Oryzias latipes: one gene and its partner. The protein of the gene in region 1 interacts with the protein of each later gene in a biochemical or structural test. Links are inferred from orthologs where the notes say so. Each region holds a gene or a part of one and is shown on either strand. Other genes may lie near its edges.

What was found. The genes of interacting proteins can lie anywhere in the genome.
Region 2: the proteins of pex5 (region 1) and pex13 form a complex in vitro, tested with the Homo sapiens proteins (3 studies listed by BioGRID). The link is inferred for Oryzias latipes from reciprocal best matches to the Homo sapiens genes PEX5 and PEX13.

Annotation. Positions count from the first base shown.
Region 1 is NC_019874.2:20,509,101-20,512,600, forward strand, and holds part of pex5 (peroxisomal biogenesis factor 5), read left to right. Parts: intron 1-469; coding exon 470-583; intron 584-919; coding exon 920-1,003; intron 1,004-1,294; coding exon 1,295-1,414; intron 1,415-1,595; coding exon 1,596-1,739; intron 1,740-1,968; coding exon 1,969-2,039; intron 2,040-2,250; coding exon 2,251-2,472; intron 2,473-2,592; coding exon 2,593-2,758; intron 2,759-2,856; coding exon 2,857-3,014; intron 3,015-3,206; coding exon 3,207-3,453; 3' UTR 3,454-3,500.
Region 2 is NC_019873.2:7,361,650-7,365,924, reverse strand, and holds pex13 (peroxisome biogenesis factor 13), read right to left. Parts: upstream 2,801-4,275; 5' UTR 2,704-2,800; coding exon 2,630-2,703; intron 2,131-2,629; coding exon 1,406-2,130; intron 1,192-1,405; coding exon 1,069-1,191; intron 978-1,068; coding exon 631-977; 3' UTR 156-630; downstream 1-155. UniProt on the Homo sapiens protein: Component of the PEX13-PEX14 docking complex, a translocon channel that specifically mediates the import of peroxisomal cargo proteins bound to PEX5 receptor.

The DNA of each region.
Region 1 (3,500 bases):
ACAATGTGCTGTAAAAATGAAAAAACGTTTTTAAAAAATCAGCAAAACCCCAAAAGGTGAATCACATTATTATAGCATGGTACTGCAGGGTTTAGTGTCCAACTTTGTTTTTAGTGTCTGCTGGTTTCATTTATTCATTCATTATCTGCTGATTTGACAGGATAGACTATCTTCCTGCTGTTTAGCACGTCTTATTTGCTGAAATGTTGCCTTCTCAACCCAAAGAAAAATAGACTATCCCAGTTAGATTAAGTTTAATTCATAATCATGCAACATTGTCATGTGCTTTGCTCATTTCGGCTTGCCATCCCCTTTCATGTTTTACATTTGTCATGTAACATAGACAAAAAAAAAACCACACAACTCTGTTCCACCAACCACCCCCAAAAATTTTCCCTACCCACCGCTTCCTTACCCTCAAATCATTGCCCCATGTGCCTTCGCCAAACCCTTCCACCTCACGTCATAGTTCCTGGTGGAGACGGGGGGAGGAAGTCTTCCCTTGGAACGGCAGGAGATGAGTCAGAAGATTGAGAAAGTTAAAGCTAAACAAGCAGAGCAGTGGGCCAAAGTCATCAGGCAGGTAGGACCTTTGCAGTGGCGGCAGCACTAGGGATATAGGGGTAGTTGTGCCTGTTTTTTATTAGAGCTTTGCTTCTAGTATTTTTTGATAGATTTTTATCTGTCATTTAGACTCTTAGATAAGCCCAGCCGACATTCATTTAGCCTTTTCAGGCTTTTTTTTTTTAATAAGCAAGGAGTAGGAAAAAGGCTTTTTTCCCCTTTTGTCATTCCTGCTGCTTTTGCAATACTTGTGTTGTTATGTTTCTGCTTGAAGCATCCCAGATCTCCATTCTCATCAGATTTCTTAGCTAGTAGATTTCTGTCATCCGCTGCCAATGGTTTTATTGTTCTACAGGTTTCAGAGGAGTCGGCTGAAGCATGGGTAGATGAGTTCACAACAACAGGGCCGGATTTTCATCAAGCCAAAGCTGCAGTGGAGGTGAGCCAAACTTTTTTAAGTCCAAACCCAAAGCTTTTGTCCGATACTCAGGAGATTTAGCTCTTTTTGTTATAAATTTAGAGGAAGGAGGAGAAATCCAATCAAGAATTTTATCTTAATATGTCCTTATTAAAGCAAAATAATCCTGTTTTAGTTGAAGTTATTTCTTGACACGGTCGTTCAAGCCATCCACGCTTTTCTGTGGATAACAAAAGTCAAATAGTGTCTGCACTGTAGAGAAATGATTTGAACTGTGTGGGAAACTGTAAAATGGATGTGTCATTTTGTCAGAGTGATGTGGATTTCTGGGAGAAGCTGCAGCAGGAGTGGGAGGAGATGGCCAAGAGAGATGCAGAGAGCCATCCCTGGCTGTCTGACTTTGATCAGTTACTCAGCTCTTCTTATGACAAGGTAGCTGTCAACCTCCTCCATGCTCGAATCCTTTGAGAAATGGTGCTGATGTTGAAACCTTGTGTTGTATTACATTCTGCTGTAAGCCCGAGAGGTTCTTTTGTTTATAATTTGTCATTGGATTCATCATCATCAAAACATTTTGACCAGTTTGGTTGTGTTTTTTTTCTGTTTACTTTAGGGTTATCAATTTGAAGAAGACAATCCTTACCTGTCCCACCCAGACCCTTTGTCAGAGGGGGTTAAAAGGATGGAGGCAGGGGACATTCCTGGAGCCGTACGGTTCTTTGAAAGTGCGGTACAGAAGGAACCAGACAACCAGCTGGTGAGATTTCCTGTTTTTAGTTGCTAAACATTTATTTTTTTTCATTTTGTAATGGAAAGAGTCCACATTGAGTTTGTGGCATTTCTTTTTAACAGAAAGCAAAATATGGTTTTATTAAATTACCAATAGTAATTCTTTTTCTTTTAATATTTTTTTTTATTAACGAGGTTTATTCATTTAAAAGGTGAGTGTGAAATAAAGTGTATCTATTTTTACGTTTAAATTGCAGGCTTGGCAATATCTGGGTACCTGTCAAGCAGAAAACGAGCAAGAGTTTGCTGCCATCAGCGCCCTCCGCAGGTCAGAATGCAGAAGTGAAAAATCCAGCCTACAGGCTTAATGTTCAAAGCAGAAATCTGTCTCGCCAGGAAGTGCTGCAAGTTTAAGTGCAGTAAATAATATTTAGCTAAACCATTTTCTATAATTCTGTTTTAAGCAATAGGTAGGAAACAAAAATATATATTCTAATTTCTTTGAGTGACATTTTTCCTCCTCCCATTGTTATTTTTAGGTGTATAGATCTGAAAAAGGACAATTTGACAGCACTGATGGCGCTGGCTGTTAGCTTTACGAATGAGTCGCTGCACAGGCAGGCCTGTGAGACTCTTCGTGACTGGTTAAAGCACAATCCTAAATATCGCTCTGTGTGGGAGCAGCATGAGCATGAACGCCAAAAAGACGGTCCTGGAAACAGGGAGAAGGAGAGCGAGAGGTTCGGGTCCCTTTTGCCAGAGTGAGTGTGGTAGATGAGGAAATTTAAGCCTCTAAATATTTATGTATTTATCTTCTTTTTTTTTGCGTGGCAGTTTTAACTGAAATTTTTCCACTTTTTCTTATTGGTTATTTTACACAGGTCGCTATTTACTGATGTTCAGTCCATGTTCCTGCGTGCAGCCAATGCAGACCCCACCCAGGTGGACCCACAGCTGCAGTGTGGCTTAGGAGTCCTCTTTAACCTCAGTGGAGAATATGACAAAGCGGTGGACTGCTTTAGTGCTGCCCTCTCCGTCACTCCCCAGGTTAAAGCAAAGATCCTCTTCTGAGATATTCATAACGTACTGTGTGTGTGAATTTTTTTTTTATTCTGCTTTTTGCCTTTCTTTTTTTTTCCTGACAGGATTATCTGTTGTGGAATAAACTGGGAGCCACTTTAGCTAACGGAAGCCGATCAGAAGAGGCTGTGGCTGCTTACAGGAGAGCTCTGGAACTTCAGCCAGGTTTTGTCCGCAGTCGCTATAATTTGGGAATCAGCTGTGTTAACTTAGGTGCCCACAGGTGGGGAGCCTTTTAAATTTTGTAAAAAAAAAAATTAAAAAAAATCTTTTTGTTTTGTTTATAATACTAGTTAACCAAAACTAGTTTCAAGCAAACATATCAGAATAAACGTAGTTGCTCTTTGATAATAGTTGACTGAATGGGATTTAAATGTTGCACCATCTAAAATTTTTGTTATTTTTAACTTCGCAGAGAGGCTGTGGAGCACTTCCTGGAAGCTCTGTCTCTGCAGCGGCAGGCTGCGGGTGACGGTGTGAGAGCTCCGCAGGGCCCTGGAGGTATCACAGGAACAGTGATGTCTGACAACATCTGGTCAACCCTGCGCATGGCTCTCAGCATGATGGGCGAGAGCTCTCTGTACGCAGCAGCTGACCGGCGAGACTTGGATATGCTGCTGGCTCATTTCAGCCAGAGGGACGCTGATGGTGGGACGGAATGAGGACCAGTCAGGGGAGGGTTCATCAAGTGTGAATGTGCTTTGCTGGG
Region 2 (4,275 bases), on another chromosome or scaffold:
TCGCCCCCGATGTCGCACTGCAGCAGCCAAGGGCGTCCTGTTGCCTGGAAACGAAAACCGTAAATCCAAAATTTCTGTCGTACATCAAACAGAGCTGTCATTTCCACACGCACGCACGCAACATTTTTCGACACAAATAATAAAATAAGACGTGCTTTTTTTTGGTTGCAGATTAATACTGCAAAAAATAATCCATTAGATTTATTTTCAAAATAATTATTTTAAGTATTTACAAAATTACATTGGACTAACAAACTTTAAAATGTGCAAAGCTAGTCTTTCTTATTTCTGAGTGAATCAAATTTCACTTGATCCAAAAAAAAACAACAACCTACAGATGTCCACCCGGCTTCACCTGAGGGTGAAACCTCACATGTATATCATGACATCAACAACCCTTTTACATTTCCCATTAACATACATCAATGCATCCCATAATTGGACTTCACAGAACACAAAGACGATGTAGTACACATCATCTCACACAAAAACGATTCTGAGCCATTTTACTTTAAGAGGAAAACTGTGCTGATGAATGAAATCAAAGACCTACAGAAGAATTGATTAGTGAAATGATAAACTTGAACTGACTGACAGACGATGTAAATGCAACACATGCACACACAGTCGTCACAGGTCCGTCTTTTCAGGGATATTCAACACTGTGTCAGAGCTCATGCTGGAGTTGGATGTTCCCAGAGCGAAGGCAGCTGGGATTTCTCTGTATACTGATTCTAGTAGGTGGTCTGTCGAGGGAGCCATGGAGGCTGTGGAGAGATCTGAAGTGGAACCATGCGCAGCTGCTGGTGTTTGAGAGGCCCGCTGGTTCTCCTCCTGGACCTCAGCGAGCCGTTCCATCTCCGCGTGCTTGCGGCCTCTCCTCTTGCCAAGGACTTTCACATAGTTAGCTGGGACCAGTCCAATTGTCTGGCCATCCACACTGGCCAGCAACCAGCCTCGCACCCGCGGTTGCTGCTCTGCAACCAGAATTTAAATATACCAATTGTTAATAAAGGCAGTTTTATGGAATACTTTAATTAATCACGACACATTTGAGGAAGGTCTCACCTTTAGGGGCCAGGTTTAGCATGTCTCCAGCCCGCAAAGGAATTTCTTCTTCAGAAGCTGCTGAGAAATCATACTCAGCCCGAGCCACGACATGATCGTCTTCCCCGCTGGCCCAGTTTGTACCTGAAAAAAACAACAACATTTCTATTGAGCACATCAAGTAGAAGAAACACGATTACATCAAGATAATTGAATAGTATTATTAAATGAATAATACTTTAATCGACAACTCCACACTGTGGTCATTGGTTTGGTGTTTTTATGATCTTCTGTTGTAAATTCTTCAAACAAACGGAAAAATAAACCAATAAAATTAAGGATTCAATGCCAGCCTTACTATTTTCATCAGAGCTGGGGCTGGAGCTCAACAACTTCCAGATGAGGTAAGGTCCACCCAGAACCACAGCAAAAAAGAGGAAAATAGGCCAGGACTTCACGCTCTGTTCATCCATTCCTGCCTCATATCCCCTGGAGGAACCCGCCACCACAGCATCACTTGTGCTGTCAGCCCACAAGTCCTCCACATCTGACCTCCTCCCCAGCAGCCGCAGCAAACGCTGGTAGAGATACCGCAGCGTGCGCACCAGAGCGAAGGCTGACAAAACTCTAGTGAGGTGAGCACGCAGCCTTGTTAGGTGATTGGCTACGTCCAGCACGGCACGAAAACTGTTGTACACGGCGGAGAAGGTGGCGTCCAGCATCATGCTAACCGAAGCAAAAGCCTGGACGATGCTTTCAATGGACTGGAAGGCTCCACGGCTGCTCTCCTCTGCCTGCTGCACAAACCGGCTGGGGGCGATTTCTTCTGTGTGGGGTAAACGACTGTACCCTCCCGGACCATAGCTGCCACCGAAGCCACCGCCATAACCGCCGCCATAGCTGTAAGGGCTGTAACCCCCATAGATGGAGCTTCCATAGGGGCTGTAAGAGGAGGTGAAAGAGGAATAGGATGGGCGGTATGACTGCTGGAGCGGGCGAGCAGGCACTGGAGGAGCCATTCTGGTCAGAACTGGAGGGCCAGCAGGAATGGAGGAGCCTGCAATTGGTCCAAAGTCTGTCGATCTGTGTGTAAAGAAAGTGATGGAGCTAAACCAGCAGGACAACCAAGAAATCTGAGCAAAATAACAAGACTTTCTGCTTTTTCGTTCTTAATGGATTTAAAACTGCTACTATTAAAAAATCAAACAGAAAGATAATATCTTTCAAAAAATTCATAGCAAAACTTTTGCGTTTATTAAGGCAATGCAACAAATATCTGGCAACTACGGGGGCCTGGCTACTATGCAAACTAGTAGCAACAAGTACTAAAACAAGTCTAAAAACACAGTCTAAAAACAATTAGACGAATTTTAAACATATTTGAAATTAACTAGTGTACCTTAGATACAACTATCCTGATTATAAATCAGTAATAGCTTTAACCAGCGTTTCATATGGTGTTTCGTTCTGTTCTGTAATTGTTTAGCAGTAGCTCCTTTAGCAACGTTAGCATTAGGCTACCTAGGAAAACTTCGAAACAACAACTAATAACCCTACAAATAACTTCCTGAATCTCATTTACCTGTAGTTTATAGGTGCGCTCATACCCCCAGGAATTCGCCTTTCCCACGGTTTGAGTGGGGGCTGTGAATCCATCGCGAAGTTTGTGATGGTTAGCTAAAAAATATCTGTGATGACAGATGTCCTCCTGTGACTTGCCGTGTTGCCTTCCTGAACTCCTTGTTTTTTTCTTTATTCTAAGGGATTTGATTTGTAATATTTTTGTATGTTTCTATTCTCTTTTTTGTGGCTTTTCATGTAACATGTTTTACTTTGGCTGATCAATAATGGTTATTTCAACAAATGAAACACTAGCTTACTAGGTAGTTTACTTTTATCGTTTTGGAATTTCCAATTTATATTGAAGGTACCACTTTAGCAATCGAAAACAGCAAGTCAGGCAAGACTAGTTGATATTCGTACCACAAATCAATCCAAACCGGTCTAAACACTTCGGGACTTCTGAATCTTACTATGTTATTCAATTTGTATAGAGATTTTTTTAAAACAATTTTTGCTTTTTATTATTTAAATTATTCAAAATATGGGCGTATCGATGAAATCAACTCGATTAGTACTGTCTGATCATTTTAATCCACCGAAAATCTCATTTTACCTTTGTCCACCAGAGGGCGCAAAGAATCAACAGAAAAGTGATGGGTAATGACAAAATCAATTACTCTTCTCTCATAAATTTTGAACCTCAAAATAATGTATATTAATAAATAATTTATGAACGATGTAATGACTTTAATACATTTTTATATATTTAAAACAATATTCAAAATGTTCATTATATTTATTTGATCTATTTAGTAATAAAAACAACAAATTGAAAGAGGAGTTTCAGTATGAAACTTATGTTTAGTCCACAAAAGTAACTTCAATATTGTTCATGTTTTTTTTAACTGCCATGAAGGGATGCTTACATATCAAGTGTTTAATGTCTTTAAATTGATCACAAAAGCTTAAAACTGCATCCAGATCTTTATTACATGCATGTATTTCATTGGACGAACAGTGAAAATCTGATGTCAGTTCTTTGCCCCCCCACTAACCAACGTCAGTCAACCCTAGCTGAGATGGGGAGTGGTGAAAAAGGCTGCTCTGAAGAGCCTCAGTGTGTGCAAAGTGAGCTGTGGTTTCAAGAGGGAGTCTCTGTGATGTCAAGTGTGAAGGCAGGAGATGTGGGGGAGCGCGTGCAGAGCTGTCGATTCGCATTCTATCAGAGACGAGCTCTGTGTCATCCCCACAGTGTGGGCGTGTGAGGCCGACTCCGTCATCTGTGGCATCATGGTATTTGGTTTGCTAGATTAAGGTGGGAATCCTAAGTGTCATCTGGTGAGAAGATGCCAGAGTTCTGAAGATACCTGATACAAAGTGGTTTGGTGGGATTGCCTGCGATGCTTTGCAAGAGCTTTGTAAAAGCTTTTTTCTGTTGTGACCTGGTTTTGGACTTGAGTTACCACTCAATCGAAAAGTGGTAGCAAAGCAAACCAAGAGTCCCTTCCTGACTGTAAAACATCATATATAAAAATATCGTTTGTGCTGCATGACTCAATAACCTGAAGAAACATCAGGAGTAAGCCTTGAAGCAACCGGCCAGCAGCAAATGTGAGACTCACATGTTTTATCTTGTCTGATATGCATGAAAAAATGTGCACATAA